Regions from separate parts of the Mus musculus genome. Here regions 1, 2, 3, 4, 6 and 7 are each reported to be linked to region 5. Evidence: microRNA targets listed by miRTarBase, many of them from high-throughput screens and not tested one by one. Region 5 holds a microRNA gene; each other region holds the end of a gene's coding sequence.

Evidence for each region. The annotated mature microRNA mmu-miR-149-5p reads UCUGGCUCCGUGUCUUCACUCCC and lies in region 5 at 1,967-1,989, shown strand. An mRNA with a match to its seed (bases 2 to 7 or 8) in the 3' UTR can be bound and repressed. Matches are read on the target gene's strand: a 7mer-m8 pairs with bases 2 to 8, a 7mer-A1 pairs with bases 2 to 7 and ends in A, and an 8mer does both.
Region 1: miRTarBase lists Camta1 as a target of mmu-miR-149-5p. The part of its 3' UTR that is shown has no 7-base or 8-base seed match.
Region 2: miRTarBase lists Mtch1 as a target of mmu-miR-149-5p. Seed matches in the 3' UTR shown: 7mer-A1 at 1,143-1,149.
Region 3: miRTarBase lists Bahcc1 as a target of mmu-miR-149-5p. Seed matches in the 3' UTR shown: 7mer-m8 at 3,392-3,398 and 8mer at 2,286-2,293.
Region 4: the mRNA of Stam2 is a reported target of mmu-miR-149-5p. Seed matches in the 3' UTR shown: 7mer-m8 at 2,722-2,728.
Region 6: the mRNA of Adar is a reported target of mmu-miR-149-5p. Seed matches in the 3' UTR shown: 7mer-A1 at 2,647-2,653.
Region 7: the mRNA of Slc30a4 is a reported target of mmu-miR-149-5p. The part of its 3' UTR that is shown has no 7-base or 8-base seed match.

What each region holds. Positions count from the first base shown.
Region 1 is chr4:151,059,403-151,063,809 of GRCm38, forward strand. Camta1 (calmodulin binding transcription activator 1) reads right to left here. Exons shown (of 24, transcript NM_001081557.3): 24 at 121-3,453. The coding sequence ends at 3,421. Among named protein-coding and RNA genes, the nearest start is that of Vamp3, 3.7 kb to the left of the region's middle.
Region 2 is chr17:29,329,124-29,333,530 of GRCm38, reverse strand. It overlaps Mtch1 (mitochondrial carrier 1), which reads left to right. Exons shown (of 12, transcript NM_019880.4): 11 at 1-17; 12 at 753-1,455. The coding sequence ends at 824. Among named protein-coding and RNA genes, the nearest start is that of Gm46603, 4.4 kb to the right of the region's middle.
Region 3 is chr11:120,289,053-120,293,459 of GRCm38, reverse strand. It overlaps Bahcc1 (BAH domain and coiled-coil containing 1), which reads right to left. Exons shown (of 28, transcript NM_001347621.2): 27 at 3,916-4,152; 28 at 1,163-3,783. The coding sequence ends at 3,577. Among named protein-coding and RNA genes, the nearest start is that of Gm11772, 53 kb to the right of the region's middle.
Region 4 is chr2:52,691,126-52,695,532 of GRCm38, forward strand. It overlaps Stam2 (signal transducing adaptor molecule (SH3 domain and ITAM motif) 2), which reads right to left. Exons shown (of 14, transcript NM_019667.2): 14 at 1,081-3,812. The coding sequence ends at 3,584. It overlaps Gm46741 (predicted gene, 46741), which reads right to left. Exons shown (of 3, transcript NR_166060.1): 3 at 3,451-4,407. Among named protein-coding and RNA genes, the nearest start is that of Gm46741, 5.8 kb to the right of the region's middle.
Region 5 is chr1:92,848,415-92,852,821 of GRCm38, forward strand. Mir149 (microRNA 149) reads left to right here and starts at 1,964; the gene lies at 1,964-2,029. The region is part of intron 1 of Gpc1 (glypican 1); the gene reads left to right. Gm29480 (predicted gene 29480) reads right to left here and starts at 383. Exons shown (of 4, transcript NR_166170.1): 1 at 287-383.
Region 6 is chr3:89,750,719-89,755,125 of GRCm38, reverse strand. Adar (adenosine deaminase, RNA-specific) reads right to left here. Exons shown (of 15, transcript NM_001146296.1): 14 at 4,371-4,407; 15 at 1,671-4,197. The coding sequence ends at 3,951. Chrnb2 (cholinergic receptor, nicotinic, beta polypeptide 2 (neuronal)) reads left to right here. Exons shown (of 6, transcript NM_009602.4): 6 at 1-1,678. Among named protein-coding and RNA genes, the nearest start is that of Chrnb2, 12 kb to the left of the region's middle.
Region 7 is chr2:122,681,596-122,686,002 of GRCm38, forward strand. Slc30a4 (solute carrier family 30 (zinc transporter), member 4) reads right to left here. Exons shown (of 7, transcript NM_011774.3): 6 at 4,403-4,407; 7 at 1-3,738. The coding sequence ends at 3,584. Among named protein-coding and RNA genes, the nearest start is that of 4930417H01Rik, 19 kb to the right of the region's middle.

The DNA.
Region 1 (4,407 bases), not on the chromosome of region 5:
AGTGAAAGGCTGGGTGGGAGAACACTGCATGTGGAAAGTAAAATAATACTTCCAGTTCTAACTATGACCTCACTGTCAACACCTTGGATTTCAGATCAGGTTAAAGCAAAACACAGATAATATGGGGAAATTTTCTTCATTTTTAATTTACAGCAGAAAGAATATAAAGCATTCAGAAAACATTTTCCATATTTTTAAGGGCAATTCAAAACATTTTGCATGGTTTCCAGCAGCTGAGTTCTTCAACAGATCCATTGACTCAATGATGCTTTACATGCACAATTACAAAAATAAAACTTACAAAAAAGGAGACATCTAGACTAGTTTTACATGCAAGTCTCAGGGACCCCCCGTTGGGCGCCAACTACTGTGTGGAACTGCCATAAGCGACCGTGCAGCCAGAAAGGGGTTCATCTTAATGTCTTTATTTCATTCACACAGTACAGCTGATTTTGAATGGGTAACAAGGATAGCAATTAAATCTTCAGGAGACAGAATAAGATTAGCTATTAATTTTATCATGAAATCCTACTCCTGGCACTTGGGAATTCAGATTATCCAAGAAAGCTGCGCCTATCACCTTATATTCAAAATTAAGAGTTACAATCAAAAAAGGTGGTCATAAATGCTTTGTGTCAGTGGAAGTATGCTTCGACCTCACCTAGAATTCACAGTTGTACTGGTAGGTTTTGACCCTACTTCTATCTCCTCCATAAGAACTTCCTAATTCTATGTAAGTCTTTATCTTCCAGAGTTTTCTAACATATTCAGCTAATGTGGCATGTGAAACACTAAAAAATAAATGTGAGGGTTGAAGCAAATCCACTGAGGTCATTGCTCTGGTCAAATGATTGGTCATCTGAACCATAAGCAATGGAGTAAATGTATCCAGATCCATGATTGAGATAGGATATTCTGAAAAGAGCTGGCTTTACATTCTATTCCCTGTTATGAATACAATTGTTTATGTAAATTACTCAGTGTCCTCAGACAGGTCAAATTGTGTAAAATAATAGGTGTGGTGGGGGCGGGGGTAGGGGGGTCGAGGATTGCAACAGCTGCAACATAACCCACACATGTAAAAACAAAATTGGGTCGGGTCAGCTTACAAATGTACAGGTGGCTCCTAGCTGTGGGGCTGTCGCTGTTCCAAGCTGATCACAAGCAGAAAGACATGTACTGTACAGTAATTTGAGGTTGGCAGTGAAAGGAAGTAATTAAAAAACAAGTACAATTATAGAAAAGGCACCGAGAGCACTGACCCCAGTTTTTATTATTATTATTATTTTTAACCACAATCCTTTTGTTTCTACCTTCCTTCTGAAGACACCAGCTTAAAGCTCATTTGTGAATATTTTTAGGCTTCACAACAAGCCTCGAGTTTTAACTCACGGTTGGCAGCCAGAACCATGTTGGTTTGTTTTTTGTTTTTTGTTTTTTAAAAAAAGAAAATCTCATACCAACCAATTCTCACACTTAACCTGGGAGTTTTAAACTGGCATTAGCAAATGCAAAATTGGTTCTCTCATAAGTTAGCTTTGAAAGCATCAGATTTCTTTGGCTCCTCATTACCTGGAAAGTACTGTACCGTGGCACCCTTCCGTCAACACCAATCTCCACCGGGTTTCCCTTTTATTTTGTCGAGTGAGCAATTTTTATTCGTGGTTTTTGTTGTTGTTTGTTTTTTAATTTCCAGCAGGAGATATGAAAATGTGATATTTTTCTCATTTTGTCCTAATTTTTTTTCCTAAACATTGATCATCCTAATGTTCTTTGTTGGTGTGAGTGGATGGTGTTAAGGTCTCTAAGGATTCATCTTATGATTATCTATTTTGCAAAAGTAACTTAATTTTTTTAAGCAATATTAGCATTCACATTACTTGGCACCTTTGGCAAAAAAATTTTTTTTAAATAAAATAAAATAAACTCCTGATAGCCAAAATTAAATGTAAACATATCCTTTTTTTTTTTTTTTTAAAGTAATGCTACTCTGCCTCTTTTCCTAAGTCTAAATACAGTAGCTCCTTTTTATTTTTTGCAGGTCATGCTTTAGCAAAATGTTCTTCTACAGAACATTTAAAATAAAGTACTCTTATAGTGAAATAAAGTTTTTTTTGTTTCATTTTACAGACCATAGCCACTAATGCTTTGCTTTTGTTCTTTTTCTTGAATTCATGCACATCTTTGTTTTAATATATACAATATATACAAACAATACATCCACATTGTTCTCGCTCAGACAAAACTATACAAATAATTTCATCTTGCCATGTTATTGACCTCTGTGAATAAAATATTTAGCAATTAATATAACCCCTTTCAAATATTTTCTCGCTTTTTTTCTCCATTTCTACCTTTTGTATGTACACAGAAACCACTCTGTTTGGATGAGATAGAGCCAAAACATGGAATTTACTGGCCAGAATGCAGCACCACACTGGTCGTTTAGGTGGCAAATGTCCAGGCAAGGTTTATGATCTCTTGGAATTACTAAGGTTTCCAAGGTTACTAAAAAAGGCTACATGCGTTACCAAGTCTTAAGTAATCCTCACTGCAAGATAGTGGGGCAGACAAACTAAAGTGCTGACCATGAGAAGGGACAGGATGGCCACTATCCTTGCAGATTCCTGGGAGGTGGGGGGGGGGGCAAGAAAATGAATTTAAATCCCGTAAGCTGTTTCTCATTATTTCCCGTGCATTACCCGTTTACCACACACCCACCCCTCTGCAAATTTTCACAAGACATTAAAAACCTGCAGATTTTAAAAGTTGCATTAAGTGTGCTGTAGAGATTCAAACGAACGGACGGACAAACCGACAGACAGAAAGAAAGAAAAAAAAACGAAACAGAAACTCAAAAGAGAACAGTGAAGGAGATGAGGACAGGCGGACTCGCACAACTCGGGTGATCTAAGCCCTCCACTGAGAACCAAGGATTCAGCTTCTTGGAAGTCACCGCAGGTGCAGGCGCAGCGCTCCTCGTGTGGCTGACGTCGCCCCGCCTGTTCTTATCTATATTTTTGGTATAAATATTTGTACAGTTCCACACGATGTTTGAATACAGCCCTAATGACAAGGAAAGCGGCTTCCTCCTAAGATGAAGCCCTTCCAGTTCCTCCTGGTGTCTTGTTTTTCCTGTGATCCAACAGAAGATTTGAGTTCCAAGATGTCTTGCTGATCAAATTAAAAGTTGTCCATGAGAGTGCAAATGTAATGACCAAACATTCTCGTTAAAATCCTGCAGCTGACTCCCCAGAACTGCAGAGGGATTTTGTGTGTGTGTGTGTATATATGTGTGTGTGTGTGTGTGTGTATGTGTGCACGAGCGTGTGTGTTGTTGTTGCATGTCTCTGCTAAAAACAGAAATGGAAAGAGTCTGAGAAGCAATGTCACATTGCTAAGGGATGCTGCTGTATGTCTTCAAGTTCCTTGGCCTTTTTCAATTCTTTCACTCTGGAAGAGAAACAAAACACAACACCAGGTGATAACTACAGAGTGGAACTGTGACCAGATAAAAGGAGAGGGGCTATGGCCCCCGAAATGAGATGCCCAGACAAGCCCCTTCTGAAGACTGACACTTGTGAAATTGTTGGGGGAATATCCAAAGACGAAGATGTGACCCTGTGTAAAAACATGGAACGTTTCACCAGGGGTGCTCCAAGAAGAAAGCAAAGCTATTTGCTCTGTTGTTCTGACTCAAGGGTGGTACGTATAGCTTGGGTACATTTAATTCCTTGAGGAACTTCTTCCTCTGTCTGATGGACTGCTATAAATGCCTCACAAATCCATGTGATGTAAACTGGGGAATTAGCACACAATTTTCCAGCTCTGAGTAGACCCAGGGACTGAATCATTATTTCACTCATAGACTCCAGGCTGCTGGCTACCTTACACCTGACCCTACAACCTGCGCTAAGTTCCTTCCCTACTCTACTATGTTACTGTGTCTTGGATCCTCATAGTTCTTGGTTCCCTCCCATTTCAAACTGTAACTTTGAAGTTCATGTTCCTTCTCAGAGCTCCCAAATGGGCAGCATTAGGATCAATACCAAACAGGGCCTTTGTTTTGCTTATCACATTGTGGCGAGCTTTAGAAATTGCTGCTCCAATTTCTATTTTTTAAATGTAAGACTCTGCCTTAAAAAAAACAAAAACAAAAAAGTGGTGCCTGATGAAATGAGGTGCAAGGGAAGTATTGTAGGATATGAGACTATCCCTCTGCATGGACGATGGCAAGTGTATTCATGGCAGAATAGTCAAATGCGTCAGCCAGTCTCCAAATGCCGCAGAGTAACATCTTCCCAGAAGCTGGCATGAGAGGAAGGTTTAGCCAGACAGAAGCAGGAGTTTCTTTCACTGCCCCAGTGACAGAACAAGGAAACATTTGATAGGTAGTGGGCTTATTCG
Region 2 (4,407 bases), not on the chromosome of region 5:
AGTACCTGAGTGTGCAGGTGAGCGTGCTGGGCTGGGGGCTCTTGGCGCTGGGTGGTGGTGAGGAGGAGGAGGAGGAGGAACAGCAGCAGCAGCCTGGAGGAACCATCTTAGGAGAGGGTAAATAGTAAAAGCTGCAGGGTACTAAGTAGGTCCTAAGTAGTTCTGGCTCTGGCTGAGGGGAGAAAGTCAGAGGAGGCCAAAACTTGGGCCCTAGGCAACTGAGTGAAATTAAATAAAGGTCAGACTGCCTTTGGAGGCGGTAGGTGGCAGAGCCCAAGAACTCACTCCTCCAGTACCAAGGGTACCTGGGATGTGCTCAGCCAAACTCCTCCATTGGACCCTTCCAGCCCTGGGGGATCTTTAGGATTCGTCTGGGTCTGGTATGAGCCTTCTAGAGCAGCCATGGCTTCTGGGGCTCTATCCTGAAGCCTCCTGTTGGCTGTAGCTCTTCCTGAGGTGCGAGTGGGAGTGGGGGAGTGGACAGGGACCAGGCTCAGGGCTAGGGGCCTTTGCCTTTTCCTGGCCTTGCTTTGCCACTGGTCAAATGAGGAGGAGCCAGGAGTGCTGAGTGGTCTTTAGGCTGTGAATAGGTTTACTGGGGGCTAGCAGGGTGGCTCAGTGGGTAAAAGTGCTTGCCACGGAAGCCCCAGACACCTAAGTTGGATCTCAGAATCCATAGGAGTGCCCTCACCACAGACAGAGTAAAAGGCAGGGTTCCCTCCAGCACCCCTGACACTGTTCTTCCCTTCCAGGGCCAGCTCTTCCGCGGCTCCAGCCTGCTTTTCCGCCGGGTGTCATCGGGGTCATGCTTTGCCCTGGAGTAACCTAAGCTGCCCGACCAAACATTTATGGGGTCTTAGCCTACCCCTGGTGAGGACCCATCATCTCAGATGCCCAAGGGTGACTCCAGCCCAGCCTGGCTTCATGTCCATATTTGCCATGTGTCTGTCCAGATGTGGGCTGGTGGAGGTGGGTCACCTGGGACCTGGGGAAGCCTGGGGGAGCAGTGTTGGGGTGGCATCCCCTTCCTGCCTAGAGGTACTGGAGTCCATCTTGTACTCAGGCAGAGGCAGGCTGCAGAGGCAAACGTCACTCAGTGGCAAGGCTTCCCTGCACCTCTAGCCCAGCTCATCCTGCCAGTCAGCCAGAAGCACCCCCGCCCCCCACTTCCTGCTTTGTAAATTGGGCGCCATCACACCTGGGCCATGGGAGGCTGGAGCTATGTTCCCAACACTAATTTTCTTATACAAGGGTGGTGCCTTCTCCTGAATAGGAAATCATGTTCTCCTCAGACCATCCCCTCATCTGCTTGTCTGTGCTGGTGACGCCAGGTGTGAGGGTTCAGTCACTGTGCTGGGTGCGAATACGCACAGGTTACATAGGCCGACATCTAGTCCTCCCCTCGTGGTAAGATAGACCCATCTCCTCGAATAAATGTATTGGTGGTGATTTGGACTTCTGTGCAAGCCTCTTATTTATGTGAGTTTTGCCAGACCCTGTGCTGGTATCTTAGGTCTGTGGGTGGCCAGGCTGGGCCAAGTGGGGTGACATGGTTGAGTCCTTGTGTCAGAGTCCCACCAAAGCTGCCAAGTGGCACCTAACACCTTCTGAAGATGTTCCCAGGCCTTCAGAGCCTCTAGGTACATGAGACACAGGGAAGGAAGTGAAGTGGCCAGTCACCTTCTGACCAGCATAATGTGTGACCTGACAGACCTAGTTGCTAGGTCTCCGTGGGGACAGAATGACATGGTCCCTGCCCTTGGGACAGGACCATTGGGCGTGGGCCTCCAGGGGTGTCAGTGGCCACTATGAGCACAAGGCTTGTTTGTATAACAATGTGCATATTTTACATTCTCATTAGCGTTAGTAAGACTCCATAATAGTCAGAAACACCGCGAGCAGAGCTGGAAGCAAAGGTGTAGCAATGTCTCAGCAAAAGGGTAAATGCTGGGACCTTCAGGACAGCTCTCAGGGCTGTGGGAAAGCCGGGCATGGTGGTGCACGCCTTTAATCCCAGCACTTGTCTTCCCTGAGGTCTGTAGGAGGCTGCCTGGCCTAAAGTGAAAGGCTTTGATTGGTGTGACTGCTCAGCATGAGGCCCTACTGTTCCCAGGTATTATCCTCTTATCTATTAAGAAGTTTGGGCTTGACCAGGCCTGAGCTGAGCTACCAGCGGGGAGGGATGACTGGAGGGGAGGAGGTGTCCGTGAGGAAGCCAGACTTTCCTCATGGGTAACCTTATTCTTCGGGAAAGTTGGAAAGGCCTATGACAGGCCTTTTGAGGCTTTCTGATAAGGAGACAGCTGTGGCCTAAGCTGTCCTCCTTCAACTGTCCCTCGTTATCACTGCCAGTTGCCACAATGCTCAGAGGCTACTGGGATACCAGCCAGCTTGCCTGCCTGCCTGCCTGCCTGCCTCTCTCTCTCTTTCTCTCTCTCCTCTCTCTCTCTCCTCCCTCTCTCCCTCTCCCTCTCCCTCTCCCTCTCCCTCTCCCTCTCCCTCTCCCTCTCCCTCTCCCTCTCCCTCTCCCTCTCCCTCTCCCTCTCCAGTTCAGCTGTGTTGGCAGGTCCCCTCCCTGCCCATCTGTTAGAGCATGACTCCTCCCTGATCCATCACACTGGCCCCAGGTGCATAAATAAATGGGTGACTAATCTCCTGATCTTTGGCAGGCACATTCACAGGGCAGAACTGCAGACGGCCAGCAGATGCCCTTGCTGGGCAAGAGACAGGAAGAGCCACAGGGAAACCAGTATAGGCTGGGTCTGCTTGGCCCAGAGACCCCCATCCCTGACTGCCCAGGCCCAACACACTAGCTCAAGAGAACAGACCTTCCCAGGAATGCAGTTGCTTTAGCATCTGAAGATCAGTTAATGTCATATACTCTGACCACATGACCATCTCAATCGGAACAGAAAAGGCCTTTGAGAAAAGTCAACATGCTTTCACAATAAAATCTTTCACCCAGACAAGGAACAAAACAATTTCAATGGTGGGGACTAGAGAGGGGGAAAAACACTTGTCACACAAGCAGAAGGACCCGAGTTTGAGCTAGCACCCACACCAAAGCTAGGTGCAGTGATGCAGGCCTGTAACCCCAGCATTAGGAGCAGCAGTGGGCGGGGTGTGGAGACAGATCCCTGAAGCTCATTGGATAACCATCCTAGGCAAACTAAGCCTCAGTATTTGTAAGAGACCCCATCTCACACACAAAAAAAAAAACAAGGTGATAACCTGAGACTGGCCTCTGGCCTGCACATGTGCACACATGCATGAGCACAGCACACAAGCTTGTATGCACAGCGCATACAAGGATGGGTGGACCTTGAAGAGATGTTAGGTAGTCACAAAACATATTTGTGGAGGACTTAAATGAAAGTCAAAGACCAGCAAGTGCAGGCCCATGAAATGGCTCAGCGGGTGAAGGTGTTTGTTACCGAGCCTGACCCATATGGTGAGGGGAGAGGAGGTTCTCCAGTCTCCACGAGAGCATGAGTCCCCCCACCCCCCAAAAAACGGAAGGAATAGGAAAGGTGCGTACAGATGGAAAATAGGTCAGCAGTTGTTTTAGGCTGAAGGGGGTGGGAAAAGCAGGCAATAGTGGGTAAGGTGCTTCTATGGTAAGGTAATGAAAAAGTCCCCTCTTAGTACTAGCAGAGCTACACAGTCCCCCAATGAGTATACTAAACAATGTCAAGCTAGGGTCGGCCAATTGGCTCAGTAACCACCAAGCCTGACAAAGTGCATGGGGGGGGGGGAGCTATCCCAGCAGGCTTGCCCTCTGACCTCTGCATGCACCCCCCACCCACACAGACACTAAATAAATACATATCCAGAACTCTGAGTTGTAGGCTTCAGGTTTTTTCCAGCCAGGTGTGGTGGATCTCTGAGTTCGAGGCTAGCCTGGTCTACAGATAGCATTCCAGGACAGCCAGAGCTACACAGAGACCTGATCTCAGAAAAAACAAAAACAAACAAAAAAAAACAACAACAACAACAAATACACTCAAATAAAGATGATGGGAACACGGTACTTGTGTACTGTTACACATGAATGGAGGATGGAGGGCTGTGTGCTTTTACCCATGAGCTGTCACATTGGCCCCAGACACATAGATCAATGGGTGACTTCTGGGTCTTTATTGAGAGAAGTAGCCATGCTGTACTAGCCTGGCCAAGACTCCTTCCTAGCCCCTCTTACTTCCTGTCCCTTGTGTTCCTGACCACACAGAACTTCTGGACCACTCCATTCTGATCCCCAGAGAGGTTTCTGGGCCTCGGAGCTCTGTCTCAGGGCTCCTTCAAAGCACCTAAGTTGCCCAAAACCTTGCCAAGTTGAAACTTGTGACCAGGACAGGCCTGAGCATCAGTCCCCTTGTGGAAAATGTCTCAATCCCCAAAGCCATAGGG
Region 3 (4,407 bases), not on the chromosome of region 5:
CCTAGTTTCCAGCTGTCACTTTGTCTCAGGCCCCAGGTGGGCATGAGGCAGTGGCCACTGCCTCGAATGGCAGGACACCATTCCCAAAGGTCACGATTACATATAACGCCAGGACTCAGTGTACAGCCCCCATAGCTGACTACTGCACCCTGCACACCTGACCTTAGGGTCCTTACCTATCAGCTTTTGGTGGGACTTGGAATGGGGTGAAGGAAGAATTTGGTGGTAGTCAGATACCTGCTGGACCACACAGGCACTTAGAGCTTACCCTGTTTCCGTGAGAGGGGCATCCCTTAGCAAAGCAGTTCAGGGAAGGGCAGGAGGTTAACACTGGAGAGAGAGACATAGCAGCCGGGCAGGGCTGGGGTGTGTGTATATGCACATCCGTACACATGGAAGTGGGAAGCTGAGGACCCCACTCAACTCCCAGAGCCAACCTTGCTGTTGTGTATGTCCTGCTGGAATTTCATCTCAGGGATTCAGGAGAGAATTACAAGTCCCAGCTGTCTTGCCTGGTCAGTGTTGGGCTTTCTTTGGCTCTGCAGCCTCCTGATCAGGCCACATATGGTCCTGTCTCTTTCCCTCTGATCTTGGCTGCTAGACTTGCAGTCAGTCCTTTGCTTAGCAATGAGAACTTTTTACCCGGAACAGATAGGGTCTCACCGTGTAATCCTTGGCCGGCTTGGAACTTGTTATGAGGACCAAGCCTGCTTTAAACTCAAGGGGGCTCCTCTGCTTCTGCAACCTGAGCGCTGAGGTCACAGGCGTGCGCCACCACGTCTATCAAGACTGTTTCTTATTATTCTTGGCATAGCTGTCTGGCAGGAAAATTTTTTTTTTGTTGTTGTTGTTGATCAAACCCATTCAGCCCTCGGCAAGGCAGGCAGCGTTCACAAATATGGAGCAGCGGGTAGGGCTCTTCTACCACTTGCCCTGTGTTTTGTGGACTCTACTGTACGAACTGGTTCAGGCTGGAAAGGTGACTAATATCCAGACCTGACTAACAAGTCCAGCTCCAGGGTCAAGAAAGGCCTAAGACTGGGGATGGGGTACAGTGGGGTCTCTAAGCCTAAGGCCACCCGAACCCATGCTAGACAGTTTCTCCTCAGCCCACACAGGAATGACCATGTGACACACATAAAGGAGGCAGGTACAGTCACAATCCGGACCACTGAACACCTGTACAATAGTCATATATTTATTCTTAAGCAAGTTATCAATAAAAAATTTAATAGTAAAATGCCTTTACATAGAGTCTGCTGTTCATAAAACCTTTGTTTTTTTGTTTTTGTATTTAGTGTTTACATTGAAAAAAAAAAACAACAAACCAACCAACCAGCCTCTTAGTTTACACATTTACAAGATTCGTGCTTTTTACCACGTTAGCCACAGTTGGGGAGGAGGAGTCACGCCATTTGCGTGTACACACAGAAAGAAAGGAAAAGGATGGGGGGACCTAAAGATAAAGACAGAGCAAGAGGACAGTTCAGCAGAGGGCAGAAGAAACGCGGAGAAGGTAGCACACAGGACAACAGCCTTTCTACTTGCTCCGGGGCTCCTGGGTACTGGGGTTCCGGGCAGCCTTTCTAGTGACAGCCCTGGTCTTGATTCTTAAGTCACCATCTTCCTGATTCCCTGGCTGTGAGCAGGACCCTGGTGGTCATCTCTTCTGATGACCACCAAGGATGGAATATTGCACTCATGTGGAGAACAGAAACCCTCAGGGTGGTGGGACAGCCAGGAACGGGCACCCTTGGTGTTCCTGTGGACCACCAAGAGGGACCCTTGGAGCAACTAGTAAGAAAAACAGAGTCCCTGGGATCAGGATAGACTCTTGGCGGGCCTGAGCAAAGGAAGAGAGGCCGGGGGTTCCCAGTTAGGGCTGGGTGACCTCCAGTACTCCCCACTTCCTAGGAAGCCTTGGCCGAGTGGACACTGGGGAGCACGGGTGCCACAAGGCATTTCTGAGAACAAAGGCTTTTGGTCCATGGGTCTAGCCTGCTCTTTCCATCATGGGAGAAGTGAGGACTGCCTGGCTTTCCTGGTACTTGGGGTCAGGATGTGTGTACAAGAGGCCAGAAGGGACCCTTGTTGTATATACTCTGTGCATGAGCCTGCCATGCTATCTGCCCTGCTGAGTGGATATAAAAAAGGTCCAGAAACTGTGTAGGTGTGGGGTGGGCAGAGGGGGCCCAGGATCAGGGTCTAGGTTGAGAGAAGGGGAGCCGGATGGGCGCCCCCTTGGGTGAGCAGCATCGCCTTTCTACTGTTGTGACTCCAGAACCTCTGGCTCAGCCTCATGGCTATCCACACTTGAGGCTATCCAGAGGTGGTGGGACCCCAGGGAAAGTATCTGGTGGGGAAAGGGGGTGCATCTTAGTGGTGAGAATGTTCTCATGCAGAACTGTGGACCAGCCCCAGACGGGCCCCAAATTCTGGCCCAGACAGGGAGCTGGACCAGCTGCACCATTGGAAGCCCTGCAGCTCTTGGGGGAAGGCAGCTGTTGCCCTGGAGGATAAGGAAGGGGCCGAGAGCTGGTGGGGACGGAGGGGGCCGGGGGCCGCCTGCACCCTGCTCGAGCAAGGCCAGGCTTCTCTCCCTGCATCAAACTGGCCATGGAAACGGAAACCAGAAATAACTTGGAATATTCAGGAAAGAAAGTCTAAACATCCATTTTTCTTATTGATATTTCAAAATATTTGTTCATTTGTTTTGTTTTAAACAGAGGTAAGAGATACGTGGCTGTTGCCATACTCCTGGGCTGTAGAGTGGGGCAGGCCGGTACCGGCCCGCAGGCTGATCCTGGTTCTCATCCTGTGGTTGGAACCCCTGGTCGTTCCAGGGGACCGCCATCACTGCCCCCACCCAAATACTTTCATGGATGGGATGTATTGAAAGGAAATAAACCGCAGTGTAATTTCCTTCACAGTTGGCCCCCAAGAGATTGGAGGGTATGACTGGGTCTCATGTGACCATCCCACGGCCTTTGGCCACGCCCCCATTCCAGCAGCCTCTGCAGTCACAGATGCCCCTGTTGGAATTCAACTAGGCTGAGAACAGTGCACTTCCAAAGAAAACCCCAGGACAAAAACCCCTACACGCACACACGCATACGCGCACGCACACACACACACACACACACACACACACACACCCTCGTCGCGCATCCACCCTTGTCGCAAAGGTGGGGAAAATTCTTTTCCACTTTTTCCCCCATAAAACTTCCCCACAGAAATACAATATTTACATAGAGAAATAAATAGACAACACACCTGATTTCTGCTTTCCCTGGTGGGAGACAGTCGGAGGTACTAGGGAAATATGGCTTGGATTCTAATCTCTCGAGAACTGCGGTGCAGCGGCAGAGCAGCCGGTCCCCGTGGGACCAGCCTGGCTCTCCCCCTGGAGCAGCTAGGATGGGACTCGGGGGGTCTATCCTAGGAGCTCTCTCCAGAGAACTTCGAAGAGAAGCCTGATCCCGCCTTGGGGGGGTTGCATATTTGCTCAGACCAGCTCCTGGCTGGCTGACCTCTTGGCTGCAGTCATGGGCGAGGGTGGGCAGAGGCAGAAGCAGCTCAGCACAGGACGGGCACGCCGTCAGCTGTCACCAGGCGCCCAGTAGTAGGATCATAGGTGCCTGCCAAGTAGTACAGGTCCTGCTGGTCCTGGTACTTGCGGCCCCGCATCATCTGTTCATACTGCTCTCGGCCCACCACCTGACATTTGTGGGAGATGGTCTGCACGTCATTCTCATCTTCGTGGCAGGACTGGTACAGTGCGTTCTGCCGGGCGAGGGAACACATACAGTGTCGGGGCCGACCTCGGCAGAAACATGCCACACCCAAGGAAAGCGCCCATTCCCCCAGAGACCCAGGGCAGGGGCTGGGCCCCCACCGCACCTGCCCACACCTCACCTTCCCGTCACTCTGCCGCTTCCCCAGCTTGGTCTCCTCTGGGTGGTAGAACCATTTGACCTTCACCACCATGTTGCTGCCCCAGGACTCCCACAAGCTCTCGATGCGGCCTATGTAGGGCAGGTTGGGCCGGCCGGCCGAAAGGAAGACCGCACAGTCCCCGATGCGCAGTGTCTCCTTGCCTCGGACAATGGCCTTGTAGAATAGTTTCCTGGCTTTCCCCTTCATGCCTCGTCTCTGCAGGGCAGACCAGCGGATACGGAAGGATGAGGAGGGACACAGGATGCTTGAGAAAAGGTGGTGGCCAGGGAAACTGAGAGCACGCAGAGGGGACAGGTGGTGTGTCTCTGCATGTGTTTGGGAGGGCAGAAAATGGGCACAGGATGGGTGAAGAAGTGTCATGGCCACCACAGGTTCCCTATGAGGTGGGCTACACTCGGAATATCTCTGCACACTGGTCATGACAGAAACACCAGCAGAGTTCAAAGGCAG
Region 4 (4,407 bases), not on the chromosome of region 5:
GGGAAAGATGGATGTGTAAAATCTATGTTGGATATAGGGTTCTAAGTCCCAGTGTCTGTGGTGCCAGGCAGCCCTTTCTTTCCTCAAGGCACTGCAGCCTGTCTCCTCCTGCATGCAGCCTCGTCCACTGGATCCTGCCTTTCATCTTCTTCTTCTTCTTCTTTTTTTTTTTTTTTGGTTTTTCGAGACAGGGTTTTTCTGTGTAGCCCTGGCTGTCCTGGAACTCACCCTGTAGACCAGGCTGGCCTCGAACTCAGAAATCCACCTGCCTCTGCCTCCCAAGTGCTAGGATTAAAGGCGTGCACCACCACTGCCCGGTGCCTTTCATCTTCTTATGAAGAAACCATTCATCACTGATTCAGAGTCCATCCTTTGTGGAAACGGCTCCACTCCAGAACCCTGAGCTAACTTTACCCTCAGACCATTTCAAACAAGGTCACGTATGACATTCTAAGTAAACATGAGCTTGGGACACTTCATTTCACTCAATCGTGTAAGCTACATTAAAAGAAGAAAAACATCTCTCAAATTCAAACTTAGCTTCACAAATTTATAGTAATTTTTCCTTTGGGGAAAAACAAAAAGCCAGAAACTTTATCTATGAGCCAACATTGAAGTAATTAAGAAAGAAATCAACCTTTTAGTAGAATCATTAAGTTGGTGCTGTGTTGTGTATAATTTGTCAGCCTTAAGGACAACACTGGTGTCACACTAAAGCAACAATTCAACAAAGCCCGACCCGGAAGTAGACAGGAGCCTTACACTTTGTCTTTCACTAAGAAAAGCCTTTAAAGAGATTCCAGAGGTGGAGAGGCGGCTCACAACCCTCCCTAACTCTAGTCCCAGAGGAGCTGATGCCCTCTTCTGGCCTCAGAGTGAACCAGGCATGCATGTGGTGCATAGATGCACATGCAGACAAAACACCTATAAACCTGAAACACATAAAACTTCATTAAAAGTCAAAAAAGATCCCTAAGGCCATCTTTCCCCCATTTTGCAATGTTGGGGGGGCGGGTGAAGAAAAAGCTCTATTTATCACTGAGTTATATCCCTAGACCAGCCACATTTACAATTATTTTTCAAAATGTGGATGAAACTTTATTATCATCTTCAGTATACAGTACAATCATTAGTCAAAAATCAAGTACTTGAAATAGCATAATGGAAATACATATTTAAATGCTAAGCAAAAAGATAATGTGTAGGTAATTTTGTAAGCAAATTACCAAATAAAAAGACAACATTGGCTGACTGTTGACTTTTCAAACATACTCCACTTAACACCCAAGGAAATGTTTTATACTATAAAATTCTATATATTTTTAAGAATTTTCTAATATATCAAGATTTATATGAAAAATGAAATTCAAAAATTTTTGTTAGAAAACATTAAATATGAACCCAATGTAGAAATCTGAAGGTAAACTATTCCTTTGGCTGAAAATAAATAGCTACAAACATCTTAAAATAAGTACAGTTCAACTGGATCATGGGAAAATATATATCTTTACATATCGTATTAATACTGAAATCAGATCAATACAGATTTAATATTTTAGGCTAACAATAACTCTGCAACACAAATTTATGAATGGAAAAAAATAAAATGTAGGAGGAAGAAATTTCTACATATATTAAACTTCACAGACACTAATATACACTATTTATATACAGGTCATGTGGCATATTTTAGTATTCCAAAACGGCTAAGCTTCAATGGCTGGTCCCCACTTAATGAGAACGCAGTATTTACACTGACTAAATAAAGCTTTTATAATTTAGACAATAACTGAACATGAAATGCACAAACACTAGCATGAGCTTATTAAACACAGTTTGGAAGGGCAGGGAAGACGCATTCCTCTACACAAACGTTATCAAGGGCAGCTCTGGACTTTTACATTTATTTACTTAATCTTTGAAGAGCAGAAGGCTGTTCTAGAAACAGTAAGGTACCATTTTGCACGCACTCCATCCTTGTAAGGACTCAATGAGTCCAGCTGAAGGGAGAAGGCCGTGTGAAACACAGAAGGTGAGGGCTAAGGACTGAAAAGCCTTCCAGGGTCCTGCATCTGACAACCAGACACTGACAAGATACAGGCTTGCAGGGACGGCCCACGCTCTCTTCTGTGCTGGCTATTTTATGCAGTAGTAGGTTCTAGAATACAGTTTCTTTGGAAAAAAAACATACTTATAACCAAGTATCGTAAACAGATAAACGATAAGATTTCCAAATTGTCTCACAATGGATTTTTAATAAAGTTTAAGGGCTTAAAAAAATATACAGAAGTGCATTCATGCAAAAATTTTAAATTTTAAAAAATCCCATTTAGAACATTTCCCAGTGTAAATATCATGGATCCGAGTCCTGTGCATCTATGTTTTCTAGTTTATGTTGTGTAAAAAGCTGATATAATAAAGTAGTGTGCAAAGCTGTAAGAGAAAATTCCCTTGGGTTTGCCACCAACTCTTACAGTATGTGGAACTGTACTAAGACCTAACGTAAGACAGGAGCTTCAGACAAGCAGCTGACTGCTGTCCTGTCAGCCTGTGGCCACCACACCGCTGCCTGCTGCTCCTGCAAAGGCTCACAACTACTTCTAGGGGACACACAATCCCTTCCCAATGGCACACGATGACAGCTTTCTGTAAGAAAGGAACGCCCACCTCACACTGATACCCATGATGGTTCCTATCACATCAGGTTATGGGGAGTGTCTCCTGGCTCAGATTCACTGAGAATCCCTAAGAAGGAAGTGCAGTGTCTGCATATGTAGCAGGCAGGAAATCCAAAGGACAGCACCTTCATTAGACATCCACCAAAAGACACTAGAAAACAATTCTAAATACCAGGGACACGAGTATGAGAGGATGCCCTTTCTGGGGAAGGCTAACATCTCCTGGGGCAGTCCCTGGCCCTCGTCTGTCAGAGGACTGGCTAACTGCTCCACAATATTTGCATTTACATGGTTTTCACTGGTAATGACAGAAACCATTTTTGTACCTTCCAAATTGTTCTTGCTTCTGTAGACAAGTATCTGCTAATTACTACTCAGCATTACACTGAGAGCAAACCTGACAGTACTGCAAACACAACTGTAATTTAAGGAGCCAACAGGAAATATGCTGGCAAGCTAAAGGCTTGCACTAAAAGATGCTCGCCTTTTAAAATAACAGGGTGTGGGAAATTCAAGGGGTGGGGGAAGTGCAGACAAAAAATGTTTCAAGGTCTTCAGTGCTCCTCAAAAATCACATCTTAAGAGGAAACAACGGGTTCTTTAAAGAGAAAATTCCACACTCCTACCTCATATCATGTAGTGTCGTAAGGCTACTCAGTAAGGGCCCAGAAAGTTCAGCCCGACTAACTTAGAACATCCAAGCTGCCTTTGACCAAAAGGTCAACTTCAAGCCAACTGGACTGGAAAAAAAAACCTTTTATGGCCTTCAGGGTAAGGTGGGGTTTTGTGCTTTATTTATTCATGGTTCTTTTTGACTGAGAGGGGAAACTTTTAATATTTCAGATTAGAATCCCCTAGATTAAACAGCACACCCACAAAGCCGTTCAGCAGGTCCTGGTGCGTCTCTACAGGAGAGGCTGCTGGTGGTAGCTTGCTTGTGGCTGTGCAGCGACAGGTGCAGGAACTGCCACTGGAAAGCCAGCCAGCTGAGGCAAACCGGATGCTGTGTTCTGGAAAGAAGACACATCTGTAGACATCCCCACAGGCTGTGTGTAAGCAGCTGTACCAGCAGCTGCCTGAAGACGAGAGCTCTGGTTCATGTAAGAAGGGTTGGAGACAGTGTCCTGTCCAGTGCTGCAAATAAAGTTTCACAAAGAAAAATCACAGTTACTTTCGCTCAAGTTGCAGCAACAGATCATCATGACAAACATGCCTTTTCCATTTTCTTTTCAAGCTTATGTATCCATCATACTAGTAACTTTTTTTTTTGTACGTTGGTTGGTAGGTTTTTTTTTTTTCTCTGTGCAGCCCCAACTGTCTTGGAACTCACTCTGTAGACCAGGCTGGCCTTAAACTCAGGAAGGGTCAGACCCACCTGTCTCTGCCTTCTGAGTATTGAGATAAAGGCGTCTACCACCACTGCCTGGCATAATTTTTTTCATGTCTACACAGAAGAACAGGACTGGACTCCAGAGTGTAAGGACAGCGCTCACTGTGAAAGCATGAAGAGTGAGTCTGGATCTCTGGCTAACCCCAGGACAGGGAGACAGACGCAGGCTTTCTGTCTGACCAGTGTGACCAGTGTTTCAGATAAGTGAGAGACTATGCTGACAAAACTAGGTGGGTGGCGCTGGAGTGATGGCTCAGCAGGTAAGAGCACTGGTTGCTCTTCCAGAAGAGCAAGCTTGATTCCCAGCACCCACATGTCAGTTCACAGCCACCTCTAACT
Region 5 (4,407 bases):
ACCCATCCCCCCTTTCACCCCGCCCCCGCCGCCACAGCCATGGCGCTCGCTTTTCTCCCTCCTTTTTCTGCCGCCGCGCCCACTGCGGCAAGCCCCTTCCCCGCCAATCACATCGCCCTCTCTCCTCTCCCTCCATCTCCCGCTTTCCGCAGCCCCCCTCCAAATGCCCCCCTCTGCCTGCCGCAGCACTCAGCTCTCCGCACCAGCCGCGCCCACTGCACCAGCGCCCCCTCCTCACTGCGGCGCCAGAGCAGGCGCCTGCATCTGCAGCTCCGGCTTATCTTACCGGCTCCAGCTGTACAGAACCATCCCCGTTGCAGAGGAGGCAGCGGTCGGTCGGAGCTGCAGGTGTCGCCCAGGCTTTGTTCGCCCAGGGCCTGGCCTGATGCTGGAGAGGCAGCTGGCAGGAGCCCTTGCCTGCCCGGAGATGACCCCTCCCATCGAGTCCATAGAAGTGCCAGCAGCCGATGCCCCCCAGTTAGGGGGTCCCTGTTCGTGATGGAGGTTCTTCTTGGTGATGTTGCCATTTGGGTGAACCGGAGGCAGGGGCTCGGGAATCATGAAGGCATCCAGGAGGGTGGAAAAGTATTGGGAGTGAGGTGGGGGCGGGGAGGGGATTGTGCTTGATGCTTTTCCAATTTCAGAGATGGAGTTGAAATGTCTTCCTTCGGGTGTGACCCCCGGGGACTAGACAGGTTTGTTGGGGAACAGGAGCAAGCAATGGGAAAATGCCCCTGGAGCCTGGGCAGTGAGTAGTCCCCCAGAAAGCTGGGCCATTTGCTCCAGGCTGTCACGTCCTGGAGACTCTCAGCCTCTGGGGCTGGAAAACCCAGGAGCACAGAGGGCTGGTTTACTTCTAACCTACCAGTCAACAGAAAGGCCTGCTCTAGGAGCCAGCAGCTGGGGAGGGGAGTGTAGCCTGTGCCTCTCCCTTATCTGCGGTGCTGAGAGATTATACTCCGAATGCCCCTACACTCCCCCAAGCCGTGCCAGCTGGAGTGTTTTAGGGGCCGTGAGGGAAGTGGGCTTTCCACTCTGCATCTCCCCCGTGAGCACAGGAAGCTTCTAGAAGAATGGACCAGAGGCGGGGTAGCATGACTCTGCATTATCTTCAGAAGGTGGAGGGTTTCAAGGCATTGGGTCCCTGAAGTGTCAGGGGAGGTCAGGTCAGAGATGTCTGTGGGTAGCATCAGGATGCTGGACTCTGCTAAAGTCCTGGGGTGACTGTGGATGATGACCAAGAGGGATGCTGCCTCTGTGAGGGAGGAGCAGGAGCTGGAGCTGTCAGCAGGTGGCAGGAGGGTGTGACCCTGAAAGGTAGGAAGCCACAAGCTGCTGTCTGCTCTGGAGAATAGTGGGGGGCCGGGGGTGGGGTGCAAGCAGCCAGATTTGGGAGGAGGTAAATGAGCAGTTGCTGCCCATGGGTTTGCTGCAATGGGGTGCCATGCTAAGTGTCACAAGAAGCAGGGGTCTTGGAATTTGAGAGGCTTTGGGGTTGGGGACAAGGCTTAGAAAAGGGACTAAAGTGGGGAAAACCTGCCATTAACAAACAACCCCCTTCCCCAAATAAAACCTGTGAGTGCCAGGGGAGGGTAGTGCCCCCCAAAAACCCAGGAGGGAAAGATCTGGAAAAATGAAACCAACTCTGAGAGAGATGGGCGGGGTCAGTGGGGAACAATACTGCCGCTCCACTCCCACCCACCTTCAGGGCTGGCAAGGAGGAAGCTGCTGGTAGGGTAGAACGGAGAGACGTTCCTACGATGGGTATGTACTCCAGTGCTTTCCTGGAAGTGTAGAGAGCTTTGCAGAGCCTGCCTTAGCTGTTCTGATGTTGAGCACCTATGGTTCCAGTTGGGCTGGGTCTCAGCTCCTCTATCTTTGACCCTCAGCAAGCAGGTCTGCCAATGCATGGGCTTCTGGGCAGCCTGACCCAGCCTGCCCGGGGCCCTCAGGCCAGTGCCCAGGCTCTGGCTCCGTGTCTTCACTCCCGTGTTTGTCCGAGGAGGGAGGGAGGGACGGGGGCGGTGCTGGGGCAACTGGAACAGCGCAGGTCACCGGGCTGGCTGGGTGAGGTGGCCAGGCAGAGCCAGGGGGCTGCAGGGGAGGCCATTGGATGGGGTATGCTCATAGTAGCTGGCCAAAAGTCTCATGGGTCCCATTTATCCAGAACCTGCCGTGGAGTGGGGCGAGTTTCTGTTTCTGAGTGTGTGTCCTTAATTAACTTCTTCCTGTTTCAGCTTCGTTCTTCTGTCTATGTGGTGAGGGGTGGCAATTGGGACCACTAAGATGGAGAAGGATGTCAGAGGAGCAGAAACCATGGGAGGGGCCAGTAAGGCTGTGCCCACCTCTCTCTTGCCAGTGCTCTGTTGTGCAGCCTGGTCCTCAATATTTCCACCTAAAACCTTTGGCCTACACACACAGAGTGCCTCTGTCCCAGCTGAGCCCAGGATGGCCCCATCCTGATACCTGCAGCCTCCATCCCCATAGCTGTTTCCCCACTCACTGCTGAAGTCAGAGATGGGTCATCCTCTACAGTGCCCCCCATGATTCCTCCTCTAACAGAAAAACCCTTAAACCCCACCACTCAAAGAGAGAGATGTGGCATATCACCTCAGCCCAGCAGACCATGGCCCGGAGCAGAGCAAATAGAAGGCCCTGCTGGGCCCTGTACCTTGTTGTGCCTGTAGCCTGCTTGCGGGTGGATAATCTCTGCTTAGCCCTCCCTACTCTAGAAGGAAGGGAATCAATCAATGGATGCAGATCAAGTGGCAGGACCTAGGCTTGCAGCTCCCAGCTGTCTGGGCACCAACCCAGCCCTTTCTTGAGGTTGGGTGCTTAATAACATGTTGCTTCCCAGGACCTGCAGTCCCTGTGAAAGGCAGGTGCCCTGGGCAGGAGGAAGCAGTGTGGTAGGAGCAGAGGGTACCAGGTAGGGGAGTGGTGGGAGGGGCATTCCGTGTGCACCTCCCATCTCTGACTCCCTTTTCTCTTGACTCCCCCAAGCACCCTTGAATCAGAATACAATTCCTTCTGTTCTTCTACCAGCTGTCAGCCACTGCCCTGCTCTGTGGACCTTTGGGGACCCTGAAACCAGGTGGGACTCAGCCTGTGAGGCCAAAAGTCCCCAGGGTTCTGGGATGAAGCACAGCTCCCATGCCTTAGTAAGCAGGAGAAGGGCTAGGCCAGGCCCTCAACCTGAGACCTGGAAGAGCAGATCTGAAGGTTGCCCTACCTAGGGATGGAGGGGTGGCATCTGGGGATATATACCTTCCATGTCAGGTCAAAATCACAGAGGCTGTACACAGTTCCACTCTGCAATATGCACACACACACACACACACACACACACACACACACACACACCATCCAGCACACATAAATGCTTGTGCTTACTAAGTGCTAAAGACAAGGATGTGATCATGTAACAAGCTCTTAAGGGTGAATGCAACCTCAGAATCTCTCCTTAGTCAGAGATCTCCACTCCCAGTTGGCTTCAGGGGAGGGGGGTTCATAGAAATGGGGCCTAACACATAATGGCCTCATCCTGAGGTCACAGGTTCCTGCCCCCACATGCTTCTTGACAAGATGTCCACTCCCCTCTGGCTCAGTCCCCCACCTCTGATGGCAGCCTGCAGTATCACATCCTGGAGTTCTTCACATCCCACCTTTCCCATCAACCCGTCAGCAAGGATAAAGCCCAGGTACCAGCCCTGGCACCTACTCTGGGCTCTGGAAACTCTGCATTTCACTGGCTCCCCATAACATCAAAATCAGCATTCCTGCACGAGGGAAGCTTCTAGAATCCCTGCTGACCGCTCCCTCTTCTCAGACCTTTCACCTAAGGCTGGGCCACTGCCTCTGCCTTTTTGATCCACCCAGTCCCTTGTAGGGACTGTAGGGCTCTGTCTTTAGGCTCAGAGACAGCAGTGTGACCCTATGAGAAGGGAGTAGAACAGAGTGGGGTCAGGCATAGGCCCAGTCCTGAGTAGCTCAGCCCCCAACTGGGACAAAAGCCAGTCTCCAAGCCTCAGATTCCCTGTAAATTGGTGTCACTATAGCCTTAGCAGAAGGTTTCCTCTCCCATTGAGGTTTTCTTCTGATGCCAGGAGACTCTCAGGTGTGTGCTGTAAGGGCTCCATGGTAGACACTTTGAGGCCAATTGTAGGCCCAAAGCAACCCTCTGTCAGCAAGTGGCAGTTGATATTGTCCTGAATGGTACTGCTGCAGTGCCACCAAGGGCTGACAGGTCAGCTCACCAGCCCAGGATAGATGGCGGGGGAGGGAGTTTCAGCCAGAACACTATGGGGACTGGGAATGTGTCCAGCTAGTGGGAACCTCAGGCCAGGGTTGAGTGGCCTCTGTTTGGGACCCAGTGCCTGCGCAGAGCATGCTTTTCTTCACCCCAGA
Region 6 (4,407 bases), not on the chromosome of region 5:
CCCAAGAAGAGTGACAGGTCTTCCTGTTATCACCTTCTGCTTTCTGCTTCTAGGCAGAAGGGACTGTTGAGCCCCACATGCACTGACCAGCTTCCCACTCACCAACTGGTCAGAGCCAAGTGTCACTTTGTAGTAATTATCCCATCATGTCTGAGAAGTCTGTCAGTGTGCTGGTCACTTGCTTTCCAAAGGACCTGATCACTTTGGGAACTGGTAGGACACCTCACCCACCCACTGCACTGTCCTAGGTACGTCCTTGTCTTCATTCCTGGAATATTTTCCATGTCCCCCCCCCACCCCACCCCCGCCACAAACTTACTCCCCCATAGCTGGACTTATTTCTCTTAAAATTGTTTCCAAATATGTTGAGTTACTTTGTTCTGTTTGGGGTAAGGGGACTAACCCTTCCGGATCAGATTGGTAGATATAGAAGGGGAGGATGCTGGAGAATCTCCACTCAAGAGAGGGTAAAGCAAAAGTCAGCAAGGGTGAAGGGCAGTGTGTACTGCCCAGTCAGTGGTATCTGCTCCCTTTGTTAGATGCAAAAGAAATGGCCAGGTGGCTAGACCCAGAAGGGACCTCTGGGGAAGACCCTCTATAAGGAACCACCAGGGGTGGTGTGGGTTTGGGCTTCCTCTCCAGTCTGGGTTCTAAAATATCCAGGCTTCAGTGAGCTGGCAGACCCCCACTGCACAGGCTGTGCTCAGATCCTGGGATCAGAGTGAATCTGTGGGTGAGCCCTTGGGGCCTTCAGCTAGGCTTTAAGGAAACCATCTATCTTTAAATTTGAGGGCCAGGGATCAACGGAATCCACTTGTACGTGATGCCAATTTATCCTGAGCAACACTTCTAGCCCACAAAGCTGGATACACCCTCAGAAACTGGAATACTCCATTCCTCGAATTTGGACCCAGTGGCTGCTGGAGGACAGAGCCACTGAGACTTTAGGACAGCAGGAGTTGTCACCTCGAACTGCCTTTAAAACTGCTCAGCTCAGTTAAACAGGGAGTGACTACCACATGAAGCCCTGGACTTAAGTGCTGTGCCCCAAAACATGTCACTGGGTCTTCTGACCTCAGCTGACCCATCTGTCTAAAGGATTATGAGAGAGTTCACACTCAGTGTCTTTGGGTATGTTGTCACTGTTGAAAGGTCAAAGATAGGTCTTCCAGGAGTTCTGAAGTAAGTTACTAAGAGCTGGGTTTCCTTAAAATTTAAGAGGGGGACTTTCGATGCCATCCACAAAGTTAAAAGGTGCATCTGAATGTGTCGTGGTCCCAGCTGCAACTGCCTTCCAAAGGGCACGTACAGGACAGTAAAGGCCGAGGCTTGTGGGGAGAGCAACACCAGCAAGACTGGCAGGAGCAGAGATTTCTGCTGTCTCCAGTGCTGTTTTCTCATTTGGGGCTTTGAAATCTACTAAGCCCCACAACCCCCAAACTAGGAACAAAAGATGACAGAGTGGGCTCAGGTGGGAAAAGTTTTGAAGCAGGGAAAGTGCTGAGGACATAGCCGAGTCCCCAACTGGCTGGCACATCACACTGCCTGAACTACAGTCAGACTGTAGAAGCAGTGGGGCCCTTGAAACTACTGTGGCTGTGGCCAGAGATCCTGTCACAGGTCCCTGTTCCCAATCTCACCTCCCCCAAGAACCAAGATATAAAACTTTGTAACAGTCCTGATGCTTCAGTGTTTTTATTTTTAGGAATGTATACTGTCACTTGTAAAGGGACAGAGGGAGGGACTGCATCCATCACAGCGCCAAGGCTATGCCTGGGTGCTTCCCCACTCTGCTCTTGGAGTCACTGCTAAAACCCCAAGGCCAACAAAGTCCCTTCAACTTGAGTACAGGAAATAGTTTCAAGCATTGACAATTCTTACACATGATTATTCAAGGAATGCAAGACAGCCACGGTTCAGACAAATCAACTACAGAAAGTATTAAGAGACGGTGTGGAGGGAGGCCCTGCTTCTTAAAGTAAACGTGAAGGAAGCACAGTGGGAGGAGGCTCTGCCCTCGGCCAGCGGGACTGGAGGCAGGGTCAGGGTGGGATGCGGGGGTCAAGTCCACAGAACTCAGGGACACCTTGCTCTCTTCCATCTGCAGAAACCCAGAACCACTCGTTGTCTAGACAGGATTGGGGTATGTGTGAATACCCAGGGAGGACCAGAGGGACCAAAGGAATCAAAGGGAGAGACATCTCTGTCCTTTAGACCCCAGGGGAAGAGCTCCCTGTCCAGGCCTGGAAACCACAAGGGCTCTGCTTCAGATGCAGTTGCCGGAGGGTGACACGCCTCCAGCCGACACCACAAGCATGGTGCTGCTTTCTCACTTCCACAGACGCTGGAGTTTCATAGGATGATTTGGCTGTGCAAAGACATCCCCAGTGTATTGTGAAGACACAGGTTCTTGTGTTGGCCAGATCTGTTCATAGATTGAGGAGGCAGTAGCCATTAGACTTGAAGTACGAATGTGATGTTTGCTGTTGGCAGTGGGCCAGAGGGTGGGGGAACCAGGCAGCTCTGAGGGTTAAGCAAGGGGGTGCAGGAAACTGTTGAACACACTGGCCAGCTGTCTCCAGATGGAGCCACACCATTCAGAGGAAAGAGGTGGGCTTGGTCCTAGAGGGGCAGAATGGAGCAGGGTCTGGCTGGTTGATCTGATGCTAGAACCAGATTCTACAGAGGCTCCCACATACCCACAAGTCACTGTCAGAGGGGGAGGAGTCAAAGAAGCCCATCCCAGAGTGGGAGGCCAGCCTGCCCTGCCACCTACAACACTTGTATGTAAATGAAGATCCTCAAAGGAGCAGGGCAGAGATTCCAGGGCCCTGTGCCCTGTCCGTGACCCAGCTTCTGAAGCCATCTGATAGAATGAAAGTACATTTACTAATGGAGAAGTAATATTTGCATCTCCAGTCTTTGATGCAGTTCAGAATCAATGCCTCTGGCCTTTTAGAAACATTAATTCTATGCAGGGCTTTGTCACTTCTGCTGAGACCAGAAGAATCCCAGTGCACCGGCAGGATGCTCTGCCTTTACCTTTGCCGTCTGGGCAAAGCTGCTCTGCCCACTATGCTCACCCTCTGCTTTTCACAAACAGCTGGGGCCTGGGGCCAACACCACACGTGCCCAGGGCCAGCTTCTGGGAGTGCTCATGGAGGGGCAGATGGAGGCATAGCGACATTCCATGGAATGCTGGTGCACTCTAGTTAGTGCTTGTGGACCCCTACTGGGACGTGCTTGGTTTGGGTACCTTCCTCGGTCCCACTGGCCGATTCTCAACTTCCCTGCTGCCCAGGAAGGGAAGTTCCTTGGTGGGCCAGCACGGCCTGTTACTGGGTAGGGCTTGCCTGTCCCAACCACAGTTTACCACATTCCTGTTGTTCGACAATCCCTGACCACGGTTGTCAACTCCTGCCCTTGTAAACATTTCACCAATCCTTTATGTTCACCTCTATCCTCTGGGGTGGGGAAGGAGAAACCTCATCACAGGAAGGCATCCTAGGAGGGAAGGATGACAGAGCAGGGGCCTGCCTGCGCATCTGCAGGTGACATCACTGGCCCCTGACATCATTTACAGAGAACTGATGGGATGGAATCAAACCCACAAGAGGCCAGTGCAGCAAAGGAAAAGGAGATGAAAAAAACCTCCGCAAAACGAAGCCCGAGGGGCCTGGGCTCCATGTGACCAAGAACTGTCTGTGCTACATATGGAATGGTAGCATTTCCATTTCCTTTAATCTTGGCCTCTTCCCTTGAGAAAAGGGAGGTGGGGACTTGGCTGGACCCCACCTTGAAATCCCAAAGAAAGCAGTTCTTGGTACCATCTATTATGGTTCTACCATTAAAAAAGGGGGGAGTGGGTAAAAAAAGCTCCTATCCTCTGGCCCGGTGTGATGAGGAATGCCATGACCGCCCTCTGACCCCAGGAGAAACGCGCCCCACTATCAGTCATTGGGTACTGGACAGAGGTAAAAGTTCTTTTCCTCCTGGGGTTTGCTGATCCAATTCCCATAGCCCATGTCTCGCAGGCTTTTCTTGAAGTAGTTCTTGGCTAAGTCATAGTCACGGGCAGCTTTCTTGGCTTCACCATAAGAGAGCTGCAGTAAATCTCTGCGGGCTCGGAAGGAGCAGAGCTTCTTAAACTGAAGGAAAATATTCTTCTTGGACACCCGAGACAACTCTTTCCCTGGTCTGGGGAAACAAAGGCACGTGTTATTCATCTGGGAGCAGGTGAGGTGGGGGCTAAGGTGTGGATTTTGCACAGGGTGGATGGCCCTGAACTCAGTACTAGCAGGCAGGGGCCTGCCCCTGGGCGTCTGGAAGGAAGCCTGCCTGGGCCTCTCCTGTGCCCTCCCACTCCTTACCCATCCACAGTGCCTCTGGTGCCATCCAGGATCTCTA
Region 7 (4,407 bases), not on the chromosome of region 5:
TTTAAATAGACACTGTCATGGATTTAGCTGGCAAGGTCTCCATAAACACCAATCTTCACAAAAATCAGAAAATGACTGTTGGTCTCCAACAAATCTTTTGTAACCATAACTTACTGACGGGTTGCCTAAATGGAAACACATAATACTGAGGAATTCCTACAATTTTTTTTCTCTAGTTTGCATGCTCCCACTAACATCACAAACAATATGCCTATCTGCAAAATCAAATCTTAAGCCCATAGGGTCCATTAGACAGACCTGGAGGTGGGATTATGAGTTTGCAAATGGTGTTCTAGCTACAGAGATATTAAACCATTTCCTAGACACCAGATTTTCTCCCTGCTTACTTAGCACAGTAGAGCTAGTGAGATGTCACTGATTATTTGTAACTAAGAGTGGTCCAACGATGAACTGAACCAAATGGTATCATACGTAGTGGCACATTCTGTAGCTTTATCTTGACTACATACAAGGTAGTCAACAGCAGAGTTCAGATTCTATAAGAACATCGTATGCTGATGAACGAGTGGTCATCAATACAGAAAACCAAACACAGCTGAAGTTACTTCAGGATCAAAATCTCTAAGAATGCTGGCTGGCATTTTGAGAAACTCAAAGCTCTTCACAGTAGCTGCTCAGTCTATTTCTGTCTCATATTCTCTACCATGTTCCCATGCAGAAAATCTGGACAGGGGATGATCTGAGGTTTTAAAAACCTTTCTCACCTGCAAATGTATTTCTAAGTATTGGCTGAAAGTTCTCTCTGAAAACTGAGAGTGATGCTCGTGTTTCTCTCTGATCTTGACTGTGTCCACTGTGGGAAGGCTCTCCTGAAGACAAATACTGACACGTGGGCCACCTGGGCTTAAGACAACGTTGAGAGTTCAGGAAATAATGTCAGAGAGAAAAATGAAAACCTCTATCCCAAACTGAAAAGAAACACTGTAAACCAAGACATCTAGTGATCTGGTAAACAATGTGGATGGAAGCTGTGAATGTGAAAATCTGCTCACATGAAAACCTTTAGCTGTGGAAAGTTAACATAGCTGCCCGTAAGAATTACAATAGCTTCTGGTTCTGCCTGTTAAGTATGTCTTACTCAACTGCATTCTTGGTATGCTTCTTAAGACAGCAAGATTGTTAGTCAGACAGAGTCTTCCTAAAACAAAAGACTGCATTGGGCACAAGTTGTGAAATATGGGTTAATGTCTACAGTAATTAATTATCTGAAAATACTCCTTAGAATATAGTGCAGTGGAGAATTGCCAAGTTTTATGTTGTGATGTTTCCCAGTGCACGATTAGCACTGCATCTCCCCAATTCAGATCCTGCTTCTTTGCAGGGCAAAGAGTTCTCACAGTTAACTGAGAGGTTGTGCCACTCACTGTGTCTCCAAAGGAGAAAGACGGAGATCTTACAGCTGTGTAGTCCCTGATCTAACTGCTGACTTAATGTCCTTCCTCTATGGGTTCTGACAAGCTAAACAAGTAAAAATCTACCAGCTCTCCATCTTGTGGACCCATGAAGAACAACGTCTAGCCCCTGCTGCAAAAGGCAAGTGCAGAGATTACAGGTACACCCACTTTACATGAATATGATAGTTAAGACTTACAGAAGTTTTAAGTTCTTCTGTTTTTTTTTATGAAAACTTTTTCAATATTCAAATGGATTTTAAGGCTGTTTTACCAAATATCAACATGAAAATCCAGATATGCCCATATTATGGTAAAAGGATGTTTTCAAGAAATGAGCTCAACTGATGTGTGAAAATGTTAAGAATAAAATGCACATTTTCCTTTTTTCCCCTAGACATATCTAAAGGCCACAAATGCCCAGGCAGCCACTTAAATGCCTATAATCTACTCATATGCGAATCACTATTTTATTTAGTTTATATTCTAAGAAAATTTGAAGTTCAAGTATTTATAATTTTAAATGGACTCACAATAAAAATTCAACAAAGTAAACTTTTTGTTTTTTTCAAAGTAAACTTTGAATTCAACAAATACCCATTGAGTTTTATGGAGAAACATCAGCTGTGTTTTGAACCTATCAATTCCCAACAACCTTTTGGGTAAACCCAGGTTTTCTTATTACTTTTTAACACAGGGAAAGTCTCAACTTCCCACTCTTCATTTACACACCATTTGGATTTCTATTCACAATCTGTTTGGTACAGAGTTACTCCACTCTGACTCTTTGAGGAGACAAGAGCCATACAAAGTGCTAGGTTGAAATGAGCTCATCTCAAAGCAACTGCTGGGAATGAATCGTGAATATTCATGACTTTCTCTTTAGCACAACTGCTGCCAATTGCCTTCCCTTGAGCTTGGAAATATTTATGTTGCTTCCTCAGACACAGGTTTAGTGTCCATCCTTATTTCAGTTCTTCTGTGCACATACATGGCCAAACAAAACAAAACAAAACAAAACAAAACAAAACAAGACAAGACAAAACAAACAAAACCTTTACCTTGTGTTTTCTTAAAGAGAACACCCAATGCCTCTGTATCTTTCTATTATGACATTACTGTAAAACTTGTAGTTCTGCAACCCATGGAGAACAGCCTGTATCATAACAGAAATTTTCTCTGGAGTAACAAAGGCCCTCTACATGGTGGGCATTAATAACCTCAGCCTTAGCTTCTATAGGTACTCAGAAAGATGTATAGATAACCTGGTGTGCACATGAGAGGGTGCTATGCAAACTATTACTAACAAATGTTGGCAGTTCTAAAAAGGACAGTGAATAACTGCTGAAATGTTGTTGTCTCTTACCGTCCTAAGACAATTCTACATAAAGCACAGAAGTGATTTTCTGGAAGATAGAATCCAAAACTCTACAGACCACTACTTGCTTCTCTGCTTTAGATCATCATATGGTAAGGTAATTTGAGGTTAAATCTAATTTCTGCCATTTATAATTATATTAAAGTTTCCCTAAATAACTTAAGGACAGTGACCACATTATGTGAATATTTCTGACAAGATTACAAATAATCAAAAATATTGAGATTTAAAACCCAGTACTATCTGGAAAATTTGCTTATAAGTTATATGTGAAATAAAACAGTTCTGAAACACTTAGAATACATGCTTATTCCATTTTCTGGATATAATTACTTTCTGAAATCTGTTGAGGGCTAATTTTTATAAAAAGAGAACACAATTCCAGAAACTGGATGCCAAGATTACACAGAGACAAAAATCCCAAATAGTTCAACACTGAGTTTGCTAGCACTGACTTCATATAAAAGGCCTGAAAAAAGTCGTTGTTAGATGCAAATACTGAATTCTGAGTCTTCGTGTACATGTTGCATACTCTGTCAAATTAATGAAGCATGGTCTTGGATTGTCTTCTGATGAGGTATCTGCAGGGTGACAGCTCATTCTGTAAACAGCACTCTGGAAGTTCTTTGTCTGAAATCATGCAAATATTAGTCAGAGCGGAGTCTGTCTTGGGGAGACTGGTGCTTGACATGGACACAGCTGTCAGGGACTCCATTAGGTTTACATTTATTGCTCTCAAGTCTGTACTTCAGGATAAACAAGGCCGTAGACCCCGAGGACATACACCTGGAACTCAGGTACTGGAACTGTGACAATTTGCACAAGTTCTGATCACTTCTTGTCTGTAACTCTGGAGCTGAATAGTGCATTTGTACATGCCAAACGTGTTCAGTAATAAATGCTTAGCTTTGGACTGTACTTCTTCCCATTTAGATGAACTTCCAGGAACTGCAACATCAAGAAAATATCCAATTATTTATTGTATACTGCCATACATTAGAAGACAAGACACAGAGGAAGCAACAGCAAGCTACAAGCATATGCTCATCTGATGTCTCTTAAGCCCTTCTACTGCAGAAGGCAGTTTCTAAGCCCAGAATCTGAGCTTCTCATGACCTTAGTCTTTCCAATCCATGCTCAGTAGAGAGAACATTACAAACAATTACAAGCCTCTTGCTTACTTATAGTCCTTAAGGACTAAGTGCATATGTTAGTTTGATTTTAAAAAGCCACCAATCTCTGATATGATTTAAATAAGAGTTTGGCTTTTATTATATAAAAGATGGCATAGTACATGTATGTAATATCTTTAAAATGCAGGCAAGTATCAATTTGTAACATCTTCTCTTAAAAAGGTAAACCAATTTAAATGTTTTTATTTATTTATTTGGAGTTCTGGGAATAAACGCAGGGCCTCAAACATGGGAGTGCCAGTGCTTGACACTGAACTGCCTTCCCAGCCCTTGTTACCCTTTCACCTACAATTCATCTTTTGAAGAGCCTCCTCCCTCCCTGAAGTCTTCTTATCAGAAAAATATTCACACATATGAACAGCTCAGATGCTGACTTGTAGGACAGAAGTCTGTCCCCATGAACCCCATGAGCAACATACTTAGC